2 linked regions of the Lonchura striata genome follow. The protein of the gene in region 2 purifies or fractionates together with the protein of the main gene of each other region. This does not show direct contact. Links are inferred from orthologs where the notes say so. Each region holds a gene or a part of one and is shown on either strand. Other genes may lie near its edges. The genes, in order: LRRFIP2 and FLII.

Region 1 (14,917 bases), on a different chromosome or scaffold from region 2:
ATAAGTAAAAACTGCAGAATAACTGCACATACCATAGACTTGAACTGCATTTGTTGACATCCTTTAAACAACACACCATTTCTAATAGACAACAAACTTTGGTTTGTTAACTCAGTGAAATGCTCTTAGCTGGCACACTGATTTGGGGAATGTAATGGCTTATAGCTAAAATATAGGTAATTTTACTATAGTTATATTCAGTTTACATGACATACTAATCTACAGAGTAGTCATTTCATAAAAATTAGATACTGATGCTTTAAATGAGGAAAACACACTTCATCTCAGTCACTGTGGAGGAAGGCAAATGTGGCATCCTCGCCAGCAATCTACACTTCTCACCTAGAACAAGGACAGAACTCCTGACTGAGTCCAAACACAAGAGAGAACATGACAGATTACCCAGAAGGTATACAGAGATGTTGCCTTTGCCTACAAGGAGGAATTAAGAAAATCAAAGCTCGACTGCAGCCAAAACTAGCAAAAGCTGATAAGGACAAAGAGAAAGGCTATTCTAAGGACATCAGGAACACAAGAAAGACTAAGAAAACTTTAGGGCCACTGTTTAGTGACACAGGTGAGAGTGGTGGGTGCTTGCCAAGCCCCACCCTTGGCAGAACAGTCTGGATAATAACAAATGTGAAGATGGGAATCTGTGTGTGTGAATCAAATATGACAGGATACCAGATCAATGTCTGACAGGGCACAGGCCCAAACGTGGTCATGTTACAGAGCAAGAGGCTTGTCAGTTACATTAAACAGAAACTACGAAATTAGACAGAAGAACTTGTTTGAAGTAAGGGAGTCTTCTTGAAAATAAAACCAAAATCAACAGTGACAGTAGTAGTAACTTTGGAGGGATAACATGATCAGTCAAACCCCAGTTTGATGCTGTCAGAAGTCCCCCAACTGATTGTATGATATCTGTCCAGGCTAAACCAATGCAGCATCCCTCCTAGTGGATACAAGATCCTGAACTCCTGCTAGCAGGTGGTCAGTACAGGGAGCGTCAGCACACATCTTAAGTGTGTGAATGTGAGCTTGTTAGGTATGCTCTCACTGGCATATTCATTAGGACATAGCACAGCACATATTAGAGAACAGCACAGATATACACAACTTGGAGTGTCCACATCTCCAGCAGAAATCATGTGCAAATAGGGGACCCTGAAGTTGAAGAAAAGAACAGTTAAACACCAGCCTAGAGAGGCTGTGAAATGTCCATCCCTGAAGATGGTAAAAGCTTAACTAGACAAGGCTCTGGAAAACCTTTTCTAATTCACAATACTTTAGGCAAAGGGTGACCTCCAAAGAATCTTCCTAAAAGAAAATATACGGTTCTACACTTATTATTGTTCTCAATTTTGAAACTAAACCTCCATATATGCTTTCTTTAATTAGCTGTTTTAATATTTCTTCAAGGGTCTTGTCACAATTTCTTCCATTCCATTTAACTTTTAATTAGGCTGATGTATGTCAGAGTATTTAATTTCTTGTTACAAAGTTCAGTACTACAGAAACCTAGACATATTGCTAATATGCTGATTAGTCTAATACTATAAATATCATTATGTTACTTCTCAGGAAAATATAAGATATCAATACTTCACATACATGCAGAAATACTTCTGGGATGTTTCACTTCAATAACTTTCTGACTACACAAAAAGTTATTTTCCTGCATGGTACATGATGATTTTAAAAAATTAAGATTTTAGCTGAGGGTTAGAACCAATTTATATTGAAGTTAGATACACCAATGATAGGTTAATGATTATTAGATGCTTAAGCTAAAGCTAATTGTTATATTATGAACTCATTTATAGAAGGAAGTGGAGCAAGTGAACCATTATAGGAACATATTGAAAACAGTAGAACAATGCCCAGCACCTGGACTCTACGTTAATCCATCATGAAGCAGGGGGCTTCAGACCATGGCAGAGGGTAACAGAGACCTGGCAAAGACCTTCCTGACTTCATCCCTGGGACCACTGACCCAATTCAAGAACAGAATTGCACATGTATGAAGTACTAATAACCTCATTTTAATACAAAGTGAGGATGGGATGTGCTGGGGTGATGCATATGCATTATTATGGGAAATAAATAGAAAGCAAAAATCCTTGTGTGATGCAGTTACACATTTAGGGGATGACCCTCCCCCCCTCCCCCGTGCCACCTGCCAGCATAATGAACATACCACTTTCTGACTTTAACTAGTTTCAGTTTTAATGATTCAATGGGATAAAGAATTTTGCTGCAGGATGAGATAAAGAATTTAAAACATGCTGTCACATTAGAATTTTCATAAAAAATAACTAAAGAGACAAATATAACCAAGACAAAACCAGACAAAGAACAGTTTGCTATTGTTATTTTATGGTTTAGAAAGATAGATACAAAAGGAAAGAACACTATAATATCTGCTGCATTTACAGTTAAAAATTCTTGAGGCATGCCCATTTCATGCCTAATTCTATAGGCATGGTAACACATTGTATTACACAACTGATGAAGTCACATCCTGTTGCGTTTCATTCCAAAACACAGAAGTGTCTGAAGTCCCCAAACAAAACAGAAGACCTATGACAAAATCTGTCAAATGCCCTCTCATTTGTCTTCACTTCCGGCATGTATACATTTTATCTCTTCCACAAGTCTTTGCTGTCTAGTCTTCTTCATATCACCTTCTGACTAAAGGTTCTCCTTGTTTCTTTTTTACTTACCAGAAAAAAGTCTGATTTGTCTTAGAGGAAAAAAATAAGCTACACTACAAGTTCAGGGCCTATCACTCACTGCCTTCCTGGGTGTATGCCAGCATATTTGGCATTACATACATAGGATCCAGATACCTTAGTGTGAACAGGCTATAAATAACAGACCAAAATTCCCCTTTTTTCCAAGATCAGTAAAATTCACCCGTGTAGACACCATCTCTGTATAATAGATTCAACAACAAAGAATGACACTTCTCTAGAACTAATGTCTTTCAGAAACAGAATATGAATGCAAAAGTATTAGTACTACAACAGTTGCATTCATAATTGAGAAGGAGCATAATCATATTGGCAACCACAATCTTGTTGCTCGATCTTCAATCTTTGTCTAAGTAAACTTCAAAGGAGACAAAGTAAATAGACATAGAAAAATTTTAAATTATGCAAGACAGATGTAAGAGTCTTCTTCAGAAGAAAGACCCCATACAAGGGTACTCTTTTTGCAATTAATGTTTGCTCATAGGTCCAAAACCACCCATGCAAGAAAAAGGGCTGCAGGATCACAGGGTGACCATGACCCAACAAAGGGACATGTAGGAAGAGATAGAAATACATTAGGTTTTAATGCACTGAGAAAGAAATAGACTGAGTTTTAAAGTGATAATGAGTCCTTAAAAGGACTCATTTGAAATTTTCATTCAGAATAACCTAAGAACTATTACCACAAAAGAGCTGCTACTATGAGTGAAAGAGGCTAACATTAAAGAGAAAATGCAAAGACTGAGAAAAACATATAATTACAATCTGCCAAAACATTACAGTGCTTACCACTATCTTGGAGGCAAAGTTATTCCAGCTGATGAATAGTGTTTCTGTTTTAAGAACCTGTTCATCTCTAATCATGGCCCACTTCAAAAAGTGTTAGCATAAAGTTTCTGCTCTGAGTGGACAGGCTTACGTTAGCTTTTTCAGGAAAAAAACTTACTCTTTAGACAACTGCATAATTCACCCCCTTAATGCAATGTATTTGCAGTTTATTTGCTGTTTTAAAATCTGAGAAATACAATTTCTTAAGAGTTCATTTAGCAATAGAATTACAATTCCTTAGAGGGAGTTGAAATCCCTCAGTTTGTTGGTGTTAGGAAGTTAGAGACCAACAGAAAGTCCCCAGTTAAAACAATCAAAAAGCCATCATGCAGCTTGCAAGAGTCTGCAAGTGCCTGATGAACCCATGAAGTGTAACAGTGCCTGACTAGCATTGGCACACATAAAGCATTGCAAGACAGTCAATGTACTAAAAGCATCCTACAGCCCTGTAGAACTACGAGACGCCTCCAGACCTACCAAGCTATCTTTGGTGACCTTCACCAGTCTTTGCAAATTACCAAAATTCCAAAACAACATCTTGCAATTTTAAGTGGTGGCAACTTGTTTTATGAAGTATGAGTTCTCTGCCAGTCAGTTGCCAACAGCTGCAACTGGATATACCATTACTGCAAAAAGTATATTACATACACAATATTATCATCAGTTACAGGCAGCATCTGGAAAGCTCTTATAATGGTGACTCGCCAGAGGATCTCTCAGGGCACAATATAAAACATACATAACTTTCAGAAAAGCAGCCTAACACAGATTGACTTTTCTAGAATCAGTGCTACTACAAATGCTGAAGATCCAGGAACAAACTAAGAATTCAAATGGAACTTTAAAACATAAGGGGGTGACAGTACTAAAATCAGCACAATAAAAGAAAAAAAATGAAAACACAAAATAAAAAAAAACCCCACAAGGATCCAGAAGTGTTTACTCTAAAATGAAGCAAGCATTGTTTTTATACTATCAGCTTATTCAAAATTAGTACCCTTTCTGTCATTTTGCAAAAGAATGATTCATTGCTCATTAAAAAACCAAACACTGTTGCTATACTGAAGCTCCACTTTTTTTTTTTTTAATGAAATGGAGTGCCCCATGGTAACAACCCACATTCTGTAATAAGATGCAACTATTTAAAATATTTTTCCCCCATCAATTTAATAGACTCCTACACTCTTTCCTACTCATGCTATGGTTACAGTACAACGAAGAAGAGCTACTGCAGCAAGTGAAAAAAAATTGTCCTGGGTACCTCTTAGAAGAAACAGCAGTTGGAGGAAACTATCAGCTGACATCATTCCTACTGACTAGTTCTCTGTTATGGTATCAGAGTTGGTAGGCTTAGAAACACCTATGTCCACCTGACCTTTCTTCTGTAAATACCCCGTCACCTCTTTCCTTAAAGCAGACCTAATACTGCTATCTTAGCTCAAGGAAATGTGAACTTTAATATCACCTTCACAAGCAAACAGTATTACTTACATAAACTATCTTGCAGAGCATGTAATGCATAAACACAAACTGTCCTTTACATACAATTACATGTTACCTAGTTTCCAGATATTAAGAAAATCTAATTACTGTCTCAAAATGTACTTTTAGCATTTTTTGTAATGCTACTGGACTGATACATTACTATCACCATACATTTTCACATTAGGATCTTACAAACAACAACACAGTATCAAATCTGTTAGTTATTTCTTAGCCTCTGCTTACATTATGTACCAGAGCTATTCAATTATGTATGATACTGATCTAAGTGGTTTTTTGGTATATGCACATGCCAACTTGTGTGCTATGTGAAAATCTAGACCTTAATAAGCTCTACAGATCCTCACTACACAGAGTCTAACCAGCACTTTCTGAAAGCTTACATGTATTAAAGTACTATGCCAACTTCTGAGAGAATGAGACTTTAAAAAAAGCTCCTCTGGAGTCAATTCATGTGAAATACTGGTGTTTAGGTCAACAAGCTACACCTGACACATTTCACACAACCATCTTCTATTCACACGTTTCCAGTTACAGCCAAGAATTCAGTTCAGGTAAGACTGACTTCACAATAAGCTAAATACCTCCAAATCAAAGTAACAGAAAACAATAGGAAAATTATGTCATGTACGTCAAACAATTTTGTACTGCTAAGGCATCTTTTATCTATTCTTACATCATCACTAAGCAATTACATTAATCGAGGAAGCAGATGTATATTAAGAGGGTAACTGTTTCTGGGCCACCATACATTTAAATATATCATTTCACAATCAAGACACAATGAGCATTTAAAGAGCTCAGACAAACACTGATTTAATATTATACTTTGTAGCAAACCTCTCACCTCGCATCTCTAAAGATGTTTCACCCTAATAATGATATTTTGAAGGGAGAAAATTGATCCTAGACCTTCCTAATTTCAAGCAAAAAATGCCTGTAGCTCTGTCTAAAATGAGAAAATCACTGAGTATATAATATAACAGCACTACTTCATCTACAAAATATTTTTATTATCAGTGAAATTCACAACACTGCCCTTCAAAGAGTCACGCTAGGATTCAAACTGAAAATCACTTATAACACATTGAGCAGACCACAGTCCGGAGCTGCTTTTGGGCTCCTTCCAAACTCATGAATGTGCTCATCACTCTTATCATCCTCAACAACGTTATTTACAATTATCGCAATAGGGTATGCTAAAAATAAAACAGCGTGCTCCAAAATAAATTTTAAAAAACCAAAGGACTAAGCATCAGCAAGAGTGACCGACTCCGTGCGCAGCTCGCTGCAGAGGGGGCACGCCCTACTGTTCCGGGAACAGCGAAGCCGCCGTAAGTGCTCCGAGGAAGTAGGAGAGAAAAAGGCACCGGAATACACACAGCTGTGATTTCTGCACATACTCCTTTTTCCCTCATTCCGCCGTTTCCACTCAGCCCCCAAGGGGCGCACGGAGCTTCCCGGGGATCGGAGGAGGGATCGCGCCCGGCGAGCCGCAGCAGCCGCCCGAAGGGCTCGGGCCGGGCCGGGCTCGGCTGCCCCCGGTCCGCCCGCACGGAAGGGGCCGCACGCTGCCGCCCCGAGCTCCTGCGGCTGCTCGCCGACCTGACCGACGAGTTCCGGCTGAGCCGCTCCTCCAAACCTGAAGAACCGGGTTCCCGCCCCGCTTCGTCCCCGCGTTTTGTGTCCGTGACACCTTCCTCCTCCCGGCCCTCGCCCTGACCCTGCCTGGGCCCCACAGAGCCTTACCTGCGGGCCAGCCTGCCGCAGAACCGGGACGCTCCAGGAGGGACGGGAATTGTTTCACTCTTCCCTCCGCCACTTCCAGGGGTGTGGGGGGCTCGCAGATCCCGGAATCACTTCAGGCTCCTTCCTTGCCTCTCTCCCTACGCCTGGAGATAGGGGAATGCTGGCAGAAGCCGCCCCAGGGCAACCACAGTGCCCGTCAGACGCGGACCGCCCACGGGCCGCGACAAGGGACCTGCTGCCTCACCTGACGCTCTCCACCGTCCCCTACCCCCGTTCCCGTGAGGGGCCGGGGAACCCGAGCTGCAGGCAGAAAAGCCGCTCCGCTCCAGGCCGCCCTTCTCTTCCCCGCCCCGCGCGCTTGCCTCCTCCCCTTCAGCGCCAGGCGCTTACGGCCACATCGAGAACTCGAGTGAGAGACTGCGGCAAATTTCAAACCGCCTGCAGGGCCCTGCGGAAGGAAGAAGGGGCCGGCGCTGAGCAGAGGGAGAGAAAGCGAAAGCCCGACAGCCAGACTGCGGTAGACACCGAGACCCACGCTGGCACCGGCAGCACCGCACTGGCCCGGCCCCCGCACAGGCCGGGGGCGCAGCGCGCAGGCGCTGCGGAGGAGAGGGCGGGAGGCCCGCGTGCGCAGAGCGGGCGCGGCTGCGGCGCCGCGGGGAGCCGCGCTGGGCGGCGCCGCGGGGAGCCGCGCTGGGCGGCGCCGCGGGGAGCCGGCCGAGCTGGGCGGCGCCGCGGGGAGCCGGCCGAGCTGGGCGGCGCCGCGGTGAGCCGAGCTGGGCGGCGCCGCGGTGAGCCAGCCGAGCTGGGCGGTGCCGCGCCCCGCCCGGTCCCGCTGCCATGGCCCTGGCGGCTGATGGGCTGCGGGAGTTCCGGGTCGGCGTCAGTGACTGCGTCCTGTGGCGGCCTTTCAGCCTAGGGAAGGCGAGGAGGCGATCGGAAGGAGCAGCGCCCGCTTCTCCTTTCCTCAGCAGGCAGCGAAGGGAGGGGGTCGTTGTCTGTAGCGTGTCGTACTGCAGTGCGCGCTCTCCGCCTCGCCCCCCCTTATCACCGGGCAGGCTGGCTCACTCAGTGCTGTGGCGGGTCTGAGACCGCCTGCCTTGTGCTTCGTTCCCGGGTTCGGCTGGGGCTTGTTTTTATTGCTCGGCCTTCCCCAGGGAGCGGCCGTGCGAGAGCTCCGGGAGACCGTGGCCGCCGCTGGAACGGCGGCGCGTCTCGCCTGCATCAGCCGCGGCGGGCTGCGGGGAGTCGCCGTGCTCGGTCGTGTGCCCAGCTCCCACCGCCTGCACATGGCACAAGAGCGTTTCGGAAGATTTGCTGGATGGGTGCCGGACAAGGTTTATTGAGTAAAAATCGTTCGTGGACATTGGCATCTTCGCTAAACACGACCAGACTTCTGTAATATCAAAATTTATATACAAGTAGCCGGCATAATCCCCAAGGATAAAATACAAGTGAAAAAGAAATTATTGTACCATCAGATATATTGCGGTTTATACACAGACAGTCATGAAAATTGATGAGATTCTGCTGTGAGATAGACTTGGGATCACACGGGTAGTAATTTGCTTTCCAACACCTCTGTAGTTAAATGCAGGGTGTCTTAAGAGTGTAGAGATAATTAGAGGAGATGGCATTTTGTATGTTGGAAATCACATGGAAATGAAAAAGCACTGTTAAAATGACAAGCATGGTGGTAAGACTAAAAAACATGCACCAGATGGAGTTCAAATGTCTTACTAAAATAAGCTTCAGTGGATATGCACAAAGTAAGGAAAAAGGGATATACAAATTATTTAAATCTATCAAAGGAGATGTATAATATATTTCTTGTGTTTCATTAGTATTTTATAATTATCTGTATGAGAAAATCTACACTCTCTCAGTCTTTTTTCCTCATCTGATCATACAGTATAGCCTCACCATCCTTATTTTTAACATCACATTAATTTCTGTAGTAATAGAGGATGATCTCGCTGGAGGAAGGTGAAGTAAAAAGTTTCTCATAGACCATCTATAGAAAAGATGAAAAAAGGTATTGGCTTAAAACCTTAGTTTTTATTTTATATTTATTCTTGCAGAAAGACACACCTGCTGATTTTCTGGGCTTTGTGAAGAATCATCATTAAAAACATCTTGGGCTGTTTTGGTTTGCCCTAGCTGGTGGGAGGAGTCTTTTATTCATTCTTGAGTAGAGGGTTTGTGTAGAGCGTTCTGAAATGTGGCATGTCCCAGGTCTTTTTGGGATCTCTATTAATTTATTCCTGTTAAAGAGAATTTTTTTTTGATCATTTGTACATTCTTCTACAATTAAGTGTTGATTTTTTTTCATACTGCTAGTCTTTTGATATCACAGACTGCACATTTTTCTTTAATGATGCAGTAAAATGTATATCTCCTTGAGAGCAGGCATGCATTTTTGTCACTTGAAAGAGCAATTGTTTGCTTGACTGAAAAGCAGTGTACAGTGCAGTTAAAACAGGCAGTGGTACAGGATGGCACAGTAGCAATTCTGAGTTCAGCATTTTAAATTAATTGCTAAACGTGTTATATACAGTTTCATTATAAATCTTCAATTAGAAGCCAGAAAGTGAAAGTTATGTTTGAATTTTTGCTATGTAATGGCTCAGTTACAAAAGAATCAGTTATGAATATGCCTTGATTAAATTGTTACTGAAGCTAGGATAAAGCTTGCTCTATTAATAGTGAATTTCAGCTAAAAATAAGTAAAGGAATAAATTAAGTATCACTGGATCTGTCTTTGAATATTTTTTTTCTTCACTGTTGTTGTTTTATACAGTAGATTAATATAGATCCCTTATCATATGTAATTGAACTTGCTGATTTACTGTCTCCCATTTCTCTGGAAATCTGTCTCTAAAACTGTTTAGCACAATTAAGGTGTTCTATGGGTGGACTCTTACTTAGTCCTTTTCAGAGTGATTATCACCTAAGAAATTATTTCTAGGATGAATCTGTAAATCAGTTAAATGGAATACTTTGAACTATGTCAATTTTCTATAATAATATGTGTGCAGTTTTAAAAGATTTTGTCACTGTAACAACTTCTATGAGAGAATAAACATATTTACCTCTGCAATGTTTTCTATTTGTGCAGTTCTGAATATCTGTTTTGTTGGTCCCACACTTTAGCATTTCTAATTTTCCCTTTAATCTTTTGTTTCATGATTATTGCACTTTCTGATTAAAAATGTAATAGTGTTGCACACATATAGGATCATAGCATAACTTAATGCTTGATGACAATCTATTTTCCTTTCTGTGTCCTCTCTATTCTTCTCTCTCCCACTCATCCCTTTGTGGAAAGAATAACTTCCAGGTATTAATTTAACTGGCAGATTGGTTTACTGAAGAAGACTCATTTATATAAGAGCATTTAAAGAAATTCTAACAACCTCATCAAATTGTTTCTGTCATTTCCATTTTGTGTCCTTCCTTTCCAGTAGTTTCCATCTCCTCAGTTCAGATGCCATCACTCAGCAATTCATTTGACACAATTGAACAAACTTTATTTTTTTCTTTTTCCTCCCGAGCTGTCGTAGATCCTCTTTTGGAGATTCTCTGTATTGTTAGCTTGTTCACCCTTCCCCACAAAAAGGGTGTTATAATGTGGGGTATTGTGTTTGTTAAAAGGTGATAATGGTTCTGTTTACCAGAAAGGCCTGTAGGAGGGCACAGCAGCAGGCTGGGTGGTTAGAAGTCAATTGCGGGGGGGGATAGACACATGGACAGGTGGGTGGTGAGATGCATGGACAGCAGCATTGCAGTTGAGCAGCCAATAGATGCCCTTCTTCTGTTAAGTTTTGGTTATGTCCGGTGGAAGCTAAAGGTATATAAGGGAGGTGTTTTCTACAATCAAGTGATTTCCTTTGTATGCACAAGGGGGTCCGTGTGTCTTTGTTTCTCATTGCTACGTTATAATACTCCCCTGTGACAGGTGGAAAATCAACTTTTTGTGTCTACACTGGAAATTAAGTGTAAACTGCTTTTGTAATGTAGGGAGCAAGTCTTGCTTTTTTATTTGTTTTGCTTTTCAAAACAATTATTGGATGTGCGTACAGGAGCTTCTGCCAAGCCCTTTCAGTCTTGCCCTCCATCGCCTTTTGTTAAGAGTTTAATTTCTACTAAAGATACATTTCTGTCATCATATATAGCCACAAATACATATTAAATCAGTGTTTTCAATCCCAGCATTGATATGTTTTTTTCAAATTTCAAGAGGAAAAGAAACACAAAAAATGCCTTTTTTTATGTGACCTTTTGTATGTGATCTTCTCTCCACCATTTTTTTAACTCAGAAATTATTAGAATATCTCTACAAAATCTTTTGAATCTTCCACAGAATTTATTGGAATGTAGAGGGACTACTGTCAGACTTTACAGTTTTTGCATACATATAACATTCACCAAGTTGTGGAAAAAAAACAGGCATTCAGAATTCCCAGCTGTTTTTTGTGGACATACACACATTTCACAGCTGTTATTATAAACAATGAAGTTCTAGGTACTGCAGAATGAGTGAGATTTAGTTTTTCCTTTTACCTCATTTTCTTTAGCACTGGAAAAATCTGTAGGATACAGTAGGAATTATGTACATTATATATGCATTTTGATGGGGTTTGGTGTTCTCTAGCAGTAGAACTGCATGAGTTTCCATTCAGTTCCAATCCATTGCATCCTCAGCAGGAAAAGAATTAGGCTGCCTGTTGAATAGCTGTGGGTAGAGGTAACTAAAAAATTTGTATTCCAATGTTTTCCAAAAAAATCTAGACAACTAAGTAAATGCAACCTTTTTTAGAAAATTTCCATTTAAACACAGATTATTTAATTAACCAAACAATTGAGAACAATGTTCTCGATATTCTAGATTTTCACTGTTTTGGTAATTTTTGTGTGCGTGTATTGGTTTATTTCTGTATTTGGAGTATTTTAAATCTTTCAGAAACAAGGTAAGCACTAGAATAATGTGATTTATGTTTAGAATGTGTTTATAGGAAGATTTTTTTTTAATTGCTGTGGATCAGTATCCATGAGTCTTATTTTGAAAGACAGGTGTCTGCCAAGGAAGGTGGGAATCTCCCTTGGAAAAGAAAATGTGACCCCCTTGTTATAAATGGGAACACACTCCCAGTATTTAACTGATTTCAGCATTTTTTATAAGGCCTAAAGCTTAGGGGCCCTGCAGGTCGAGCAGGGGCGTTCCCATCAAGGATGCTGCAGCGCCGGCACTGGATCTTCTTCCTTTCTTGAGCAGTGATGTTCCCGATGTTTTGGGTGGAGTGGCACAGTCTCACTGGCTCAGATGCCCCCTTTTAGAGTGTTTCTTGTTCCTTTGGATTGGTTTCTGTTGGGATCCTTCATTTGCGTGAAGGTTAAGGTGCTTGATTGGCCCTTACACTTCCATCCAGGCTGGCTCATTTTGGCTTGGGGAGGGGGTTGGTGCACTTTACTTAGGTGTAATACGGGACATTCAGTACTATATTTCTTATAACTATCCTTTTAACCTCTTTTACAACATAATAACCAAACTTTTTAACAGTGCATATTTAACAATTATAAACTATTTTACAACAGTTTCTAACCTATTTTTGACACTCTTCCCTCCAAATTATTATAACTTTGACATTACAGGCTGTCAGGCAAAACTATGGGAAAAGGAATAACAGTTCTTTACTAGTGTGTCTGTGTATATATATATATATATATGTATATATATATATATAAAACAAGGCAAACAAACAGCACCAAACAGAAGAACAGAAACCTATTTAAGAGGCTTAAATAGGTTTCTCAGCTGTGGCACTTGCCCCTTTGGTGTAGTTATGGTCACAGCCAGTGCTGTTGGCTCCTGGCCTGGCACTGCTGGTGTGATAATTCCCCTGTTACTACATGGGTTGCTGCACATAAGCCCAGCTGCCTCTCGACTGTTTAATGGCAGCATTGCTGCGGGAAGAGATAGAAAAGGGGCTTCCTTACAAACTCATGGGAAACAGGTGGTCCCAGTGTCCATCCAGATGGCAAAATGGGCTGTAGCAGGAACCTCAGAGCAGCAAGCTGGAATGGCAGAGGCGAGCAGATCCTGGGATAGCAAACAAAATGTAGCAGAAACTCTGCAGCCATAGCAGAAGCCATGTGGGGTTGAAAAGACATGGCGTCTCAAATTAAAGAGTAGCAAAAAACCCAAAGCAGCAAAAGAAAAGAGCGAGACTGGACAGCAGCAGCTGGGCTCCCACCAACAGCCATAAGATACTCCCTTAGTAGAGGAGGGGAAGGGATTGGGGTCTTAGGTTTTCTTCTGGAACACCTGGGTAGATGGTGAGGTCTCAGTTCAATGGCCGCTCTTATGACCAAAGGCTCACTCATGATAAGGAAGAAGCAGTAAAGGACAGAACTCTGCAGTGGCAGGGAATTCTCCCCACAGCAGCAACAGCACCATCTCCTCCTCCAGTCTTGAGAGTGATAGAGAGTGAGGAGCTGAGCCCTCATCCCTCAGCCAAAATCTCATGGTATCTCTGCACTTCCAAAGAGAAAGCCCCCCCAGCTCATAGCACACTGCACTCTTCCTCCTCCTTGCTGGCTACATCTTTTGTCTCTCTTAAGTACCGTTGTTATCTTCTCTTAGGCAACAAATGTGAGAAAATTCCTTGAAACAAAAAAGAAAGAAAAAAAATCCTAACATCCAACATCATGGTTATATAGTACAATTTTAAGCACTGGAGTTTCTGAAAAGTGTTCCAACATCAACTTCTTCTTAAGAATTACAGGGAAGATGCATTATTTTGATCATCCCATTTAGATGAAGGTAAATTATGAAATATCATAACAAGGTACTCTGGTTTGAAAGCAAAAACAGTGAGAAAATCCAAATCGGAACTACATTTTATTAGGAAAAAAAAAAAAACAAACAGAATACATGCAATAATTCAAAAGGAAAACCACAGACAGAGTCAGAATACAACCTGACAGCCTTTTGGTTGGGGTAGGTAGCAGTCCAAATTGGAATGGCTGCAGTCCTCCTGAAGTGGCAGGTGTGGTTCTGTTGGAGCAGTGATCCTGTAGAAGGGTGTAGTCTTGCTCCGAAGGTCCAATGGAAAGACCCAGCTGTTCCTCTGGGAATCTAGTGGAAAGGCAAATCTACTGTCCCAAAAACTCAGATTATATCCAGTTAGTAATGCTTGGCTCCTCCCTCTGGGCAGAGCATCTCACAATGGGATGCTGTAACTTTTATCAGTCATGCAGCGACATTCAATAGGCCATTAACAGCAGATGTCTCCCCGGAGGGAGGATTGGTTGGTGGAAGAGATAAAGAAAACTGCCCAATTAACAGAAGATATCTTCCACAACTCTAACAGATGGCAGATATCTTGCAGAAGGCAAACATCTTGCCTTGCAATCTAGGACACAAGTTTTGTGGATGAAGATTTTTTTTGTTAGTAAAAAAAAATATGAAACAATATTCTAAAATACTATTTCTAAAATTAAATTTTTATTATAAAATTTGGAGATGTTTATACAATACATAGCAGTATATTTAATTTTCACATAAAGCTTTTCCATTCCAGCCAGAGATCCAAGTGTCATCATCCTTACAGACCTGATAGACATACTTCTAGATGTCTTATGTTCTGTTTGATCTATATAGAAATGCTGATAATTTCCTATGCTAAGATCCTTCTTGAAAACTCAATCTAGAAGTCCATTCTATCTATTCTATATGTTCTATATATCCTGAAGAGAGGTTGTATAAACGTTAATTGATTTTACTGATGGTGTACAAGCCACAAAGAATAAATCACTTGCTTTTGCATATTTTGTTGAGCTTGTAAAACTTAAAAGCAGTGACTGTGTTGTGTGAGTAAACATGTATCTTTCAGTATGTACTCATTTTTCTTTGCCACTTTTCTGACTCCCATTATATTTAAAAATTTAGAAATGTCATTGGAATGAAAAGTTTAAATATAAATTTTTAACACATTTATATTTTTATAACACACTAAAATCTAATGACCATTTATTATAACTCTTCTATGCCTGATGTCCCCACAACCCAAATGATCTTC
Region 2 (14,806 bases):
CCTGCAGAGGGGAGGGGGACAGAGGTGAGTGGGGGCTGCAGGACCTCAGCAGGTGGTGGCCCTGTGGATGCAGCTCCCCACCTTGTACAGTTTGGGTTTGTGGGGCTGGAAGTCATCGGGGACACAGGGTCGGATCTCCTCGGGCTGGCCCCCCAGCACCTCCCAGAACTCGGGGGTCTCCTGGCCCTGGGTGAGCAGCGTGATCTCGGCCTTGCCCTTCCGCTCGTTCTTGTTGATCTTCTCAGCGAAGAGCCTGCGGTGGGAGCACATGAGATGGCAGCTGAGCTCCCCACACCCCGGCACCCCCACCAGCCCTACCTGGCCTTGGTGGTGCTGCTCAGCGTGGCCTGGCTCCCACGCCACACCAGGAGGTTGAGGCCATGGTCCAGGAGGAAAACAAACCTGGAGGAGAGAGGTGAGAGGGGTCAGGAGAGAATGGGGAGTGCTGGGCATCCTCCCCATCCTGGGGATCCCTGCAGGGCACCAATGTTTGAACCCATGTTCTTGTAGAAAGGTGCTGGCATAGCCCATTTGCACCACAGAACTGCAGCTATAGTGTCTCAGGTGGATCCTGCTGAACTTTCTGTAAGGTCCCTCTGTCCCCTGGCCACTCACCGGGGGTCCAGTGATGTCCCTTTCAGTGCCACCGGCTCCAGCTTGACATTCTTCTTCCCATAGACACGGTAGAGCCTGGGGAAGGGACAGCCGTGGTGGGACATGGGGCACTGCCTGCTCCAATCATCGCCCCAGCCCCTGTCCCCAGCTGTACCTGGTGACGTACTGCGTGTCCTCTACGGTGAAGAAACCACTGGCTGTGCCACCCTCGATGTAGGAGATGTCATTGTCGAAGACCTGGGGGCATGGAGGGGTGAGGCTGGGACAGGAGGGGTCGGGGGTTACAGGGGAGCTGGGACTTGGCCTCACCTGAAGGAACTCTTCGCTTTCATCCCCCATCTCCTCCCGGATGCTGCGGCACTCAGCCCCCAGGTAGTTGCGGAGGTTGACGGCGTGGATGGCGGAACAGGCCTTCTTGTCCAGTGTGGCCTCCTGCCCGATCCAGTAGTAGATCTCCCAGTTCAGGGAACCGTTCTCATCCAGGAAGGTCTGGGAAGGACAAGGGTGTGAGATGGGATGGCTGCAGCTCCTGGCAGGGGATGCAGGGGACCTTTGGTCCTCCCGGGTTACCTTGAGCACGATGTAGCAGTCGGCTTCGTAGAACTTGCCGTGGAAAGCCTCGTCCACCAGCGTGGGCACGAAGTTCTCGATCTGCCAGACACAGAGGCCGGGCAGCTGCCCCACGTCCTCGCTGAAGAACTCCGAGTAGTCCAGCTGTGGCTTCTCCAGGCCCTGGTCCCAGCGCCGTGTCTTCAGATCCGGCGCCTTCGCCTCCCCACTCTCCTGTGGGACAGGAACAGGTCAGATTAGGGACAACCAGAACCCAGCTGGCAGCCAAGGTAGGCCAGGGACACTGTGATGCCCTCAGGGCCCTTCTCCCACCCCAGACCCTACCTCTATCTTCTTATTCTTCTCCTGGGCCACATCCGACATCCCCTTCAGCACCTGCTTGGCCTGGTCATCCTGGGCAGAGTCCTTGCGCCGCCGGAGCCGCATCTTGCGGGCCAGCGGGTCCTTGGTGCCACTCCCTGGGGACACAGGGACGGGGTGAGAGGCGGCCACGCCGCCCGTGGGGCACCCCACGGAGCAGGGCTCACCCCCCAGCCTCTGCCAGGTCCGTGCCAGGGCAGGGAGGGACCGCGTGCCCCCCTCCCTGCACGCGTACCCGCGGCGGCAGCGGCGACGGTGGCGGGGGAGGCTCCGGCCAGGCGGAGCTGGTTCTGCAGGGAGAAGTCGATGTTGTACCACTCCGAGGAGCGATCCGCCGGCTTCGGGGGCATCACCAGGTTGGGGTTCTCGCGCACGTCCAGGATCTGCCAGGGAGGGCACAGAGACCTCGGTGAAGTTCGTGCTCACAGGGATATTTGGAATGTGGCATGGGATGGAGACCTGAGGGGATGTGGAGGGAATCCATGGCCTGCCTGGGCTGACATGTGGCAGATTGCAGGTACTGGCCCTGAGCTTCCCTGCCCTCACCTCATCCAGCCCACCCTACAGCCCTGGGGTCCCAGGGAGGTGCTGGGGCTGTGGTGGAGCCAGCCCAAGGCAGAGAAGCACTGGGTGCCCACCTCCACATCTGTCAGGAAGTGGATGGCCTCTGGCAGCGTCACCAGGCGGTTCTTGTTCAGCACCAACTTCCTCAGCTTGGAGCACCTGTGGGACGGCGATGCTGGTGACAGGCCAGCCCAGGGTGACCTGTGACCACAGAACCTCTGTGCTCCCTCCTGGGGACACAGCAGATCCAGTGGTGTGTTCCTTACCTGCACAGGCTCTCAGGGATGAGCTCCAGGTTGTTGTTGGCTGCCATGAACTCCTCAAGGTTGGTGAGCTTGCCAATGCCCGAGGGGATCCCATCAAAGTCCAGCTTGTTGGAGTTCAGGTACATCTTCTTCAGCTTGGTCAGCTTACAGATGGCTGACTGGGGAAGGGGGAGATGGTGGGGTGAGGGAGAACCATGGAACCACGAGCAGGGATGGCACAAAAGGGCAGGTACATACAGGTAAGGAGGTGAGCTGGTTGCGGGACAGGTTGAGGGTCTCCAGCTGGGTCCACTGGTCGATGCAGAGGGACAGTTCCGTGATCTGGTTGCTGCTGAGGTTGAGGCGCCGCAGGCTGCCCAGGGTGTAGAGACACTCAGGGACACGGCTGAGGTCATTGCAGGACAGGTCCACATCTGGGGACAGAAACAACGGGGTGACACCACCAGCCAGACCAACACTGGGGTTGGGAGAGCCCCTGGAGGGCTCTGTGGGGCTGGATGCCCCAGCCCTACCTGCCAGGTTCACCAGGGCCTCGAGGCTGGTGGGCAGGTTGCTCTGCGTGCGCTGGGTGTTGCGGAGGTGGAGGGTCTGCAGGGCCGTCATGGCCGGGAGCTGCCTGAGGACCAGGGAGAGCCACAGGGCAGAGGGAGTGTCAGGATGGAGCAGGGAGCTCAGTGCCAGCCCTGCCAGGCTGGGAGGCAGCCCGGGGAGCGGGGCCGTACCGCAGCTGCGCATGCAGGAGGGGGTTGTTGTTGAGGATGAGGGTCTGCAGGTGCACCAGGCGCCTCATCTGTGGTGGGAGACTCTCCAGCTTGTTGTCGCTCAGGTCCAGGTAGAGCAGGTCCGTCAGGTTGATGAAGAGCTGGTTGGGGATGGTGTCGATGCTGCAGGGATGTGGGGAAATTCAGGAGTGCCTAGGATCTGCACCAGCCCCGGATCTCCCTCGAGGAGGGGCAGAGAACAGGACCCAGAGCAAAATGTGGCCATGGCCAGGATGGGGAGATGGTTATTCTAGCCTGAACCCACCTGTTGTGGCCAAGGTTAAGGACCAGCATGTTCTTGGCATTCTCCAGCTCCCTGGGACACTCTGTGAGCTGGTTGTAGCTCAGGTCCTGGGAAAGGGGGAGCACAAAGCAGTTGTCACCCAGCCACCACCACCCACACCTCCAGGGAGCTGGACCAGCACACAGGGAACCCAGGGAGCCCTTCCATGGCATCAGCCTTTAAAGGAGACATTGCCAGAGGGTCACCCTGCCGACAGCCAGCTTCCCTGGAGCTCAGCCATGGGCTTGCGACTGCTGCTCCCAAGGAACACAAGGAGCCACCACGGTGCAGCAAAGGGACCCAGGAGTCTGAGCTGGCTCCTGTATAAGCTGAGAAGAATCTGCACCCACCAGCACCGAGAGGTCATCCAGCTGGAAAATGTCATCAGGGACTCCCGAGTTCTTCAGGCTGTTTGCACGAGCCACAATTGCCTGCAGAGGGGAGAGAGGCAGGAATGCAGCTGCCTGCGGAGCCCCCAGGGTGCCCAGGTATGATCTTGGTGTGCCCTCAGATCCCAGAGGTGCCTGGGGACCCCTGAGGCAGGAGGGGGACACTCACCCGGAGGCAGGGCAGGCCGGAGAGCTCTCCATGGAGCGTGGTGAGGCTGTTGTGGCTCACGGAGAGGTGTTCCTGCAGGGAAGTCCCAGACAAGCCCCAGTGAGCAGAGAGAGGAGCTGGGGCTGTGCAGGGCAAAGGCTGTGCCCCAACATTGATGTGGAGGCTCCTCCATCCCAGGAGAGTTGGGGACTTGTCACCCACAGAGCTGCTGGGACACTCCCAGTCTCAAACTGGTTGGTTGGCCCAGTGTGCCTGCGCTGCCTCCACATCCCTCATCCCCTGCACACCTCAGCCCTGCCGTGGGGTTTGGGGTGCTCTGGGATGCCCACACAAACAGATCCCAGTCCTTGGGAACGGGCAGACGTGGGCACTGCTGGGGTGGGAGGAATTCCCCTGGGGAAATGTTTTCCTCTGAGCATCACCAGCCCGGCTGTTGCCTGCTCAGGAACACACGGCATTGGCAGGCTGTGGGTGGGATGCCAGGATTTCAGTCTTGCTGTGGCCCCCGAGCACCTGGCAGGGCTGGCAGGAGTGGCACTGAGGGATTCCCTGGCAGCGATTAAAGCACTCAGTTTGTGTGACACGGACAGGATGAGGTCCCTGATGTGCTGTGGACACCACCAAAGCCAAGCTGAGCCTTGACTCCAGCAAGGGCCTGGGTGAACCACCCGAAAAACAAAGCCAGACAGCTGCCAGCTCCTGCTTTTTACATACTTTAGCAAAGAAGAAGGAAAAAAAGCCCCCAAACCCTTGATTGTCCCCACTGTAACCATCACCCTTCCCTTCTACTACAGGGTAGAGGATCTAAGCGTGGTTTTTAATCTGGTTTTCTAGGAAAACAAGGTGAAACTGAGAGCAAGCCCACTCCAAACCCACTCCTGACAGCTCCTGCATCCCATTTCAACCACACATTGCAGCTCAGTGCTATTATTAGACACTGGAGCACCCGCTGCTGAGCCACGAGGCTGGCAGGGAACAGGCTCCCGTGGGATCCTACGGTCCCAGCGGGATAGGGGAGCCCCATTCCATCCCAGAACACGGGGCTCACCAGCTTCTGGAGGGCAGCGAGCTCCTCGGGCAGGTAACAGAGCCCCGTGCGGTTCAGCTTCAGCCAGCGCAGGCTGGTCATCGCCTTCACATGCTCCGGGAAGTACCCGCCCTGCGAGGAGGAGGAGGAGGAAGAGGGTGAGGAAACACCTGTCCCACGGGATGAGGATCTGGGGACCTCAGTCTGATTGAGGCTCTGTGGTCATGGGAGGTCTGGGATCGTGCAGTCCTATGGGCTGGAAAGTGTGGGGTCACGATGACCCAGTCCTAAGGGACTGGGAGCTGTGGGGTTGGGATGAAGCAGTCCCATAAAATTGGGAATTAGAGGGCTGGGATCACCCCGTCCTAGGGGCCTGGGAGCTGGGGGCCATGGAAACCCAGTCCTACGGGACTGGGAGCTGGGATCGCCCGGTCCTATGGGAGCGGGAGCTGGGATCGCCCAGTTCTACGGAACCGGGAGCTGGGATCGCCCAGTCCTACGGGAGCGGGAGCTGGGATCGCCCAGTCCTATGGGATTGGGACGGATCACCCAGTCCTACAGGATCGGGAGCTGGGATCGCCCAGTCCTATGGGACTGGGACGGATCGCCCAGTCCGATGGGATCGGGAGCTGAGATCGCCCAGTTCTACGGGACCGGGAGCTGGGATCGCCCAGTTCTACGGGACCGGGAGCTGAGATCGCCCAGTTCTACGGGACCGGGAGCTGGGATCGCCCGGTCCTACGGGATCGGGAGCTGGGATCGCTCAGTTCTACGGGATCGGGAGCTGGGATCGCTCAGTTCTACGGGATCGGGAGCTGGGATCGCTCAGTTCTACGGGACCGGGAGCTGGGATCGCCCGGTCCTATGGGACCGGGAGCTGGAGGCTCGGGGATCTCCGATCTCCCTGGGACCCCCTGGGCTGAGGGCCGGGTTGCTCAACCCCAGCGGTTCGATGTGGGTCAGGGATCGCCCCCGCAGCGCCCACAGCGCCGGGACCGGGACTGCCCCAGGTCACCCACCCCGGGCGGGGCCGGGGCCGGGCTTCCCCTGCCCCGGGGGCCGAGCCAGGCCTGACAACCCCGCGGGGCCCGGGCCCGCTGGGGCGCTGCGGGCCGGGCTGTGCCCCGCTCCCGCCGCCCCGCACCTTGAAGTCGTTGCCGCTGAGATCGACGCCGCGGACGAAGGGCAGGACGCCGGTGGCCGCCATGGCGGAAGCGCGGGGGGCGGCGCGCGGTGCCGCGCCCCGCCAGGCCCCGCCCGCGCCCGCCCCGGCCGTGACGCGCGCGGCGCCTGGCGCCACTTCCGCGCGCTGTGGGCGGGGCCGCGCCGCCGCGCGCTCCCATTGGCCGGGGCCGCGGCGGGAGCGCGCGCGGAGCGCGGCGCGGGGGCGCGCGCGGGCAGCGCCGGGCCCGGCCCGGCCCGGTCCGGTCCCGGTTCTGGTTCTGGTGCCGGTGCCGGTCCCGGTGCTGGTTCTGGTTCTGGTGCCGCCTCCCCTCCGTCAGTAGGGTCGGGGGGGGGCTCCCTTCCCGCGGGCCGCGGTATCGCCCCGGTGCCCCGCGAGGCTTTGCGGTAGGGCTGGGTGAGGAGCGGGTGTCCCTTCCTTCCCCGGGATGTTTCCTTCCCCGGGGTGTCCCTCCCTTCCCCGCGGTGTCCCTTCCCTTCGGTGTCCGTCCTTTCCTTCCCCGGGGGTGTCCCTTCCTTCCCTGGGTGTCCCTTCCCTTCGGTGTCCCTTCTTCCCTGCGGTGTCCCTCCCTCCTTGCGGTGTCCCTTCCCTGGGGTGTCCGTCCCTTTTTTCCCGGGGGTGTCCCTTCCCCGGGTGTCCCTCCCCGGGGTGTCCCTTCCCCCGGTGACCCTTGCTCCCTCGCCGCACCCAGCCGTCCCGCCGCCGCCGGCGGGAGCCTTTATCCCGGAGGAGAGCGGGCCGGCGGAACCCTTTGTTCCCCAAACCATCCCACCCTGCGGCTGTGCCTGTCCCGGGGTGACAGGTCCCCCAGCCCGGGGTGACTCTCCTGTTCTCCGCAGGGCGACCATGGCGGCGTTTTGGCAGCAGCGGGGCCGGCGGCAGGAGAGCGGCGGGCTGGGCGCTGTCCTCGACGGGCTGGGCAGCGTGTTCGATGTGCTGCTGGCCAACGCCAGGCTGGTGCTGGGCGTCAGCGGCGCGGCCGTGCTGGCCATCGCCACGCTGGCTGTCAAGAGGGTAAGGCTGGGTCTGGGAATAGAGCACCAGGAGATGCTCAGGAGGGCTGGGTTGGTTCCAGTGTGGTGGGGCAAGATGTGTCCCAAATTCTTTATGTTCTCTCCTGAGCTGGTTCCTTGCACGTGGCACAAATGCCACGGGTGCTGGAAGCAGTGCCGTGGACATGGAGCTGCCTGCTTCCATCCTGTGGGACCATGTATGCATGTTCTGTTTGCCTGGAGCATTTTGCATACAGTATCCCATCCCAAAAGGCACCTGGGACCTAAATTGTATTTGGGAATCTGTTTTCCATGTAAAACCTGCAGGAAGATGATGTGCACACTCATGGCCCCCAAAACTGGGTGTTTTTCTGAGCAGAAGCCTTGAGTGGGGCTGTCGCCTCACCTGTAATTCATGGAAAACAAAGATAACATCTTGTCCTCTTGGCTTTTCCTTCCCTCCAGCTGATCGACCGAGCCACCAGCCCTCGGGATGAGGGCGACCCCAAAGCTGAGCAGAAATCCCTGGAGGAGAGCTGGCAGGACTTGGCATTGATCAAGACAACACCAAAACCCCCCAAGAAGCAGAGAAGGGAAGATCTCAGTGAGCCTCTGCTCTCTCCAGCTCGGCCTCTGGTGCCAGGTGAGGTTCCTGGTGCCCAGGAGGATCACCTTGGTGTGCTCCGGGAGCTCCACGTTATTTTTAGCTCGCTGTCGGAAAGCCGAGCCCACTGAGCCTGCCCTGCTGGGAGGCTCCCAAGCCACGGCCCCTTTTTAGGCAATGCCAGCGGAAACAGGACCTCTGGTGACATCCGGAGTGGCCTGGCAGAGGGTGTTGGGGTTTGTTTCCTCTGGAGCAGCGTTGGCTGTGCTAGTTTTCTGGGTCAGCTGTGCCTGCAGGAAGGTGTGCTCAGGAGCTGCTGCAAACAAAGGCTGCCTTGTCCAGCTGCCCATGGAGATGGAGCTTTTCCAAGTGGGAAACTGGCCCAGTTCAGTCCAGGGCATGTCCTGAGATAATGGACCCAGAGCAGGATTGTCTGTAGGATCCTCATGCGAGGGGCAGGCACTGATCTCTCTGGTGACCACTGACAGGACATGAGGGAACAGCAGCAGCTGTGTCAGGGAGGGTTTAGGTTGGATATTAGGAAAAAGATTCTTCCCCCAGAGGGTGCTGGGCACTGCCCAGGCTCCCCAGGGAATGGTTGTGCCCCCAAGGCTGCCAGAGCTGCAGGAGCATTTGGACACTGCTCTCAGGCACAGGGTGGGATTGTTGGGGTGTCTGTGCAGGGCCAGGAGTTGGACTGGATGATTTTCGTGGGTCCTTTCCAACTCAGTGTATTCTGTGGTTCTCTGACCCTGGCAGCAAGTCCCTTGCCTGGTTCCCATCTCTGGCTGAGGAGTGAGGCTGGGAACAGCCAGATTTGGGGTTGGTTTGGGCTCTGCATGGCTGAGAAGTGCTGTTAACATCAGTGAGCTCAATGGGGGCCCTTGCTGAGGTCGGTGTCACCTCCAGAGGGGTGGGCTGAGAGCTGGGCACCCAACTCATGCCTTCCCCTCTGCTGCTGAGGCTTTCAGATGATGTGCTCAGAGCTGTGACTTCTCCTTTCCCTTCCCACAGATCCCAGGGGCTTCTCTGCCTCTCTGGGGGCTCCTCAGGTCAAGCCCAGCCCCCTGCGCTGTCTCACGCTGCAGGAGAAGCTCCTCTCACACAGCAGCCAGCTGGCCGTGCCCGAGATCCAAGTGTCCCTCGTCCCACAGCTGGCCAGGAGCATCTGCACCCAGCTGCAGAACTTCCTGAGGAGCAAGTGCCCGGAGCTGCCCTTTGGCCGCCTCTTCCTCAGCGGAGCCCTGCTCGATGGCCTCGAGGTCCTGGCAGCTGACCACATCCACCTCATGCTCCCGGTGGTCCTCGACGCCGGGCTCTGGAGCCTCATCTCGGGAGAGGACACCGTGGTGAGGAGCCCCCAGTACTGGATGATCAAGAGGATCGATCTGGGCTACTTCCCTCGTGGGTGCAGCCCCTGGGACAGGTTCATGGTGGGCCGGTACCTCTCGTCCAGCGTGATCAACGAGACCCTCCACAAGCTGCTGGTGGCCTCCATCAACTGGCCTGCCATCGGTGGCCTGCTGGGCTGTGCCATCCACCCTGTGGTGGCCTCCCGGGAGCTGAAGCTGGAAGTCAAACATGATCAGGTTGATCTGAGCATCACCCTCTTCCCAGTGGTGGAAATGGAGGACAAGGTTCTTCTGGCTGTTCCTCCTGAAGGACTGGTGGAAAACCTCTGGCTGGAGAGTTTTTACAGGGCGGAGGTCTCGAGGGTGAAGGAGCTGGACGCTGGTGACGCCGGGGCTCGGCAGCTCTGCCTGCGCATCCTCAACAGCATCTGCAAGAGCCAGCCCAGCCTGCACAAACTGGGGGGCAGCCCCATGGCCCATGTCATCCTGCACCTCAGTGACACTGCTGTGGACTGGGCAGAGGAGAGCCTTGCTGACAGGTTCCAGCAGCTGCTTGAGGAGCTGGTGGCTTCCCTGGAGAAAGGAGTCCTGCCTTGCTATTTCAACCCCAAAATCAACCTGTTCTCCAGGCTGTTGGAAGAGGAAATTGATGAGATGGGCTTTGTGCTCTACAGGGCCATATCTGAGCCAGAGGTCCTGCTGAAGTGACCGGTGTGTTGGGAGCTCCTGAACGTGGGGGGGTTGCTCCCTGCCTGCTGCTCCCCGCTGTGAGGGCTGTGATGCTTCTAGTTGACTAGTCAGTAAGAGGCAAAGTTCTTGCACTTTATGAGGAAAAAACCGGTTTCCTGTGTGAATAAAGCGTGCCTGAGCAGAGGTGGGTGCTGGCAGAAGGAGCCTTGGGCTCAGAGGCTCTGCTGAACCCGGGCTGAGGGCAGCCCACGCCACACGTGTGAGTTCTGTCTGCTGGGAGCCCAGTGAAGCATGTTTGGTCTCTGGCTCCCAGTGTCTTCTGCCTATCCCAGCTGTCAGGTTGCCCCTCAGGCTCTGAGAGTAGCTGGAGAGGAGCAGCCCCTTCCTGCTGCTGTGTCCTGCAGAGCCCTCAGGTGCCACGTCCTGGGCTGGTCCTGTCACCAGCACCCTGCGTGGCCTCGCTGTGCCAGCACTTGGGGCAGGGGGAGCCTCACCCACCCGCAGGATTTTGCCAATCCCAAATAAACCCTGTGGATGAGCTGGGTGCTGGGTGGTACAGCCATAGCAAATGGGGGATGGGGGTTATTCCTTGGAAACCCTTCCAGAAGGGGCAAGCTCAGCCCTACCTCTTTGTTCTGACAGTGTTGATGCTGCCCCGAAGAAGGGGCCCTTGTCCCATGCAGTGTTTTCCTGGAAGATGTCCTGAAAAGGAGCTGCTGGCTCTGGGGAAGCTCCTGGTTTTTCAGCTGGAGGCTGCAGCAGGGCTGTTTCCCCTCCCCAGTGGGTGGGTGGCTGCCAGTGTCTGTCTGCAGGTACCTGTCCCCTCCCAGTCTGTCTGGTCACCTTTTCACACTTGTATTGCTGCTGTCTTGAGGTCCTTTTGCCCTGCAGCCCCACGGAATGGGGTGGGGAAGCAGGGTAGGAATGATGTTGTGAGCAGAGTGCTTGCAAGAACTGAAGCGGTTTATGCTTTTTATTAAGAAGATATATTTTGTTTGGGTATTTTGTTGTTTTCTTTTCCTTTGAGTGGCTGCTAGTAGGGTTTGGTCTGGCTCTAGTCCCAGAGAAAAGCAATTTATTCTTATATTTAATGGGAAGAGCTGGTTTTGCACGCGGGTGGAGCTGGAGTAATTCTGTGGACTTCACTGTGAGCAGCTGTTGTGGTTTAGTTTTCTTTACAGCTATCATCTTGTTTATGGGAGGAAAAAAACCTGCTTTTCCTCCCAGTCTGACAATTCCTTTGTTCCTCCAAACCACTTCCCAGGTGTTATGATGAGAATAAACCTTCCCTGTGCACACTGGTTCTCTGGTGTCAGCTCTCCTTTGTCTCTTTCCCCTGCTAAGGGTTGAAATGACTCCCAGCTGTGTGGCCTTCCTGGGAACCACCTAAGGTGTGTCCCTGCTGCCTGGAGAGCTTGGTGATGGTCAGATCCCACCCTGCAAAGTCTTCCTCCTCCTCTTCCAAAGCCGTGGACCCACAGAGTGCCTGGCTGCAGTGTGGGAGCTGTCTGGGCACTGACCTTGTACCGCTGACAGGGCTCTGCTGAGCGTTGAGCAGGGTGTGACTCCTCAAGCTGGTCCAGGCTGATCCACCAGCAGGGTTTTAACCTGCTCCCTGTGTCCTGCACAGCTGCTTCCCACTGCTGCTGCCATTCCAAGGTGGCTGGCCAGGCTGCTGCCCTGCCTTGGCTCAGTGGCTGCATTCCAAAGCCCTGTAATGCTGTTATTTTAGCCCAGGCTGTGTATTTTTAGGCCCCGGCTGTTAATGGTGGGAGTGAGGGCTACAGGGAAATGCAACCCAAATTCTCCTGACTTTCTGCATGGATTTAGGCCTGGTAGCAATGGACTGCTGCAGGGTTTCTGGCTCTCTTTCTGGCCTGTGCTGCTGTGGGCTCTGCTTCCAAGTGCTCCAGCCCATCCCTGCTCAGTGCTGACCCCAGGAACTGCTCCGTGCCCAGGGGCAGGACCCTGAGCAGCCCTGGAGCTCCTGGCAGCAGAGCACACGGGAATCCTGCAGCTCTCCCTCCTTTGATCAATAGAGGAAACCCCAACAGAGAGGGGAGAGGCAGCCTGGCTTCCCAGGGAGTTCAGTCTGAACTCAGAACAGGGAAAACAGAACTTCTCTTCAGCTCAGCCAGCTCTGTCTGTCTGTCCCAAGTCAGCAGATGCAGCTGGTGAGATAAAAACCACTTTTCCCATCTCTTTGTAGCTCACTTCTAAATTGCTGTGGGGAGTTTCTGCCAAGAAAGCTCCTCTATTGTTCCAGTGGTTGGAAAGAGCAAGATTTGGCTGGATGCTTTTACAGTAGAAGCTTCACTATTTTATGTAGGAGGAAAATTAGGCAGATTTAAGGTGTCACTGCATCAAATTTAAAATTTAAATAATATTTTAATAAGAAACTCAGTGGTTTGACAAAAATAACTTTCATCAGCTAGCAGCATCACAAAGGCATGTCTCCAGGTTTGAGGAAGAACCTGCCTTCAAATTCAGGAACCATCTAAAATGAGGGCTTTTCCTGAGCACTGCAGCTGAGCTTCTCCCAGGGCTCAGATCCAGCTCCTCTGCACCTGACCCTCCTTCACTGGCAGGAACAACCCAGGTAAGGGTGACAAAAAAGGGGAATGTTGCTCAGGTAACATCAACTGAGAAGGGAACTTAAATTCCACACTGTGGAAAGCCAGGGACTGAGCAGAGCTTGGCAGCCCTGGTGTCTGTCCTGGTGGCCCTGATCCAGCTCTTCCCTGTGTGGAAAGGCCAAGAACAGCCACCAGGATGGTGCAGGGGGATGTTGCAGTGCAGTTTCCTCCACAGCTTCCAAGTGCTTCCTTGAAATGTTCAGAGTTTCCCAATCTGCTCAGCAGAAGAGCAGCTGGAAACAAAAATTGGTAGTGGAACCACTTTTTCAAGCTGGTTGAACCCTTCCTGAAACAAATGGCATGCCTTGGCAGGAGCAGCCTGCAACCAGCCCCTCCAAAAAGCACTCAAGGGACTTGTTCCCAGAGTCCAGTTCCTTGTGGCTCCTGCAGAGCTGACAAGCCTGGTCCTTGCAGGCTCTCAGAGGTCCATCCCAGCTCAGTGGTTCTGAGGGCAGGTTTTCCTTGTGTGCCCAGGCTGGTGGCAAATGCTGCAGGTCCGTGGCTTCTTGGCAGCAGATGCTGAGAGATTGCCTGGTCTCTTGGCCTTGCTTCCCAACCCTCTGGAGAATCCATTGCTGCCAAAGTGGTTCAAAGAGTCATCTCCAGAAGGGCCTAGAGATAAACAAGCTGAATTTAAGGATCTTTGAAAACATGAATAGGTGAGAAACACAAGGTAAGTTCAAAATAGATCAAAGATTCTCAGATTATTCCTGAACCTGCATTGCTTCAAACTTGTCTGAACAGTGAAGTGTTACCCATTTGTCTTGCAGCATTAGAGACATGTGGGAGCAGCACAGGGGAAGCAGCTAATCTGCCTGCTTGCATGCTCTGCTCTGCAGCTGAAGCAGAGAAGAACTTGGCAGAGAAGAACTTGGGGTTTAAGTAGTTTAGAAAACTCGATTTTACCCCTTTAGGCCCAAATGTCTGAGGAGGAGGATCTCTCACAGACCACATCTTCCCCTCTGTACCTGGATATGTCTCTTTTTGTCAGTTCTCTCTCTTTTGCACTCTTGTTTTGTCATTATTTTTTTTTTCAGAATCTTTCCACACAGTTTCATCTCTGATCAAAGCTCCAGAATGATTTGCCCTTTCCCTGTACCCCTAAACTAAGGCAGAGGTAGAAGCACAGTTTCCCTGCCATGCCAGGTGGGTTTGAATGTCTGCAGAGAGGGACACTCTATCACCTCCCTGGGCAGTTGTTCCAGAGCTCTGCCACCCTTAAGGTAAGTAAGTTCTTCCTCATGTAGAGGTCAAACTTCTTGTGTTTTAGTTTCTGGCCATTGCTCCTCATCCTGTCACTGGGCACCACCAAAAAAAGCCTGGCACCACCCTTCCCTGAGATATTCACATGCATTAATGAGATCCCCTGTCAGTCTTCTCTTCTCTAGACTAAACAGGCCCAGCCCCCTCAGTCTTTCACCATCTTTGTGGCCTCCACGGGACCCTGTCCAGCAGCTCCTTGTTTTGCTGAGCTCAAGAACAGCCTGCAGCCCTGGCGTGTGCCCCCAGCCCGGCCGTACCTGGTGCCACGTTCTCATCTGCCCACTGGAAGAAGCCGCACTGCTGCTCCCGGGGCTTGGGGCAGGTGTGGAACTGCCGCCCCTTGTTGGGCCCGTCCTTCTGCACGGTGCGCGTCACCGCGGGCTGCTCGCACCGGCACACCGCGCCGCCTCCGGCCTCCGAGCTGCTGCTGCTGCTGCCCAAGGGCTCCCTCCCTCCTCCTGCCCGCTGCAATCCCGCTGGGGCTCTTCCAGCAGTGGGCTGGAGCGGCGTGGAGCTGCCTCTGTCCTGCTCGTCAGCCCAGAGGAAGAAGTTGCAGGTGCTGGAGCTGCACTTGTAGAACTGGCGGCCCTTGTTGGGGCCGTCCTTGCGCACGGTCAGCAGCAGCGCCTCGCTCCCACAGTTGCACACCACAGCGTTCCCGTCGTCTGGAGCAGCTGGAGGAGCAGCCCTGGGGGTCCTGGAGGAGTTGATGGAGAGCAGGTGTCCCCGTGCCAGGTTTGAGGCCCCCCTGGCTTGCCTGGTCTCACTGCTGGCTCTGTTCAGGGAGTGGTTGGCCTGCAGGTGATGCCCTGGCTGGGAGGTGGATGACGCAGGCTGGGATGATCTGTGCAAGTACTTGAGGTCTAAAAGCTCTTTCAGCATCTCATCACAGCCTCCAATGCAGCCAACGAACTCCAAGGGCATCACAGGGGGAACGCTGCCTTTCTTGAATTTAAACTTCAGTCTGCAAGGAAAGGAAGAGTCAAAGCCTGCCAGTTTCTCATCAACAGACCACAATTTATACTTGAACTTCTATTTATTCTTTTGATTCTGCTATATGGAGGAGTTTCCCCAACCCCTCT

Evidence for each region.
Region 1: the proteins of FLII (region 2) and LRRFIP2 purify together in Homo sapiens (affinity purification with mass spectrometry; 3 studies listed by BioGRID and IntAct, with this or other methods). This does not show direct contact. The link is inferred for Lonchura striata from reciprocal best matches to the Homo sapiens genes FLII and LRRFIP2.

What each region holds. Positions count from the first base shown.
Region 1 is NC_134603.1:102,525,056-102,539,972, reverse strand, and holds the start of LRRFIP2 (leucine-rich repeat flightless-interacting protein 2), read right to left. Parts: upstream 7,445-14,917; 5' UTR 7,081-7,444; intron 6,980-7,080; 5' UTR 6,837-6,979; intron 1-6,836. UniProt on the Homo sapiens protein: May function as activator of the canonical Wnt signaling pathway, in association with DVL3, upstream of CTNNB1/beta-catenin.
Region 2 is NC_134618.1:15,738,612-15,753,417, forward strand, and holds the start of FLII (protein flightless-1 homolog), read right to left. Parts: upstream 6,256-14,806; 5' UTR 6,212-6,255; coding exon 6,149-6,211; intron 5,137-6,148; coding exon 5,026-5,136; intron 4,050-5,025; coding exon 3,978-4,049; intron 3,851-3,977; coding exon 3,770-3,850; intron 3,488-3,769; coding exon 3,402-3,487; intron 3,260-3,401; coding exon 3,098-3,259; intron 2,992-3,097; coding exon 2,888-2,991; intron 2,789-2,887; coding exon 2,613-2,788; intron 2,534-2,612; coding exon 2,376-2,533; intron 2,269-2,375; coding exon 2,184-2,268; intron 1,929-2,183; coding exon 1,781-1,928; intron 1,644-1,780; coding exon 1,510-1,643; intron 1,399-1,509; coding exon 1,186-1,398; intron 1,105-1,185; coding exon 925-1,104; intron 853-924; coding exon 770-852; intron 691-769; coding exon 616-690; intron 403-615; coding exon 319-402; intron 254-318; coding exon 82-253; intron 2-81; coding exon 1-1. Other genes in the region: MIEF2 (mitochondrial dynamics protein MID49), read left to right, coding at 7,034-7,201, 7,645-7,822, 8,798-9,843; TOP3A (DNA topoisomerase 3-alpha), read right to left, coding at 12,898-13,073, 13,982-14,688. UniProt on the Homo sapiens protein: Is a regulator of actin polymerization, required for proper myofibril organization and regulation of the length of sarcomeric thin filaments. It also plays a role in the assembly of cardiomyocyte cell adhesion complexes.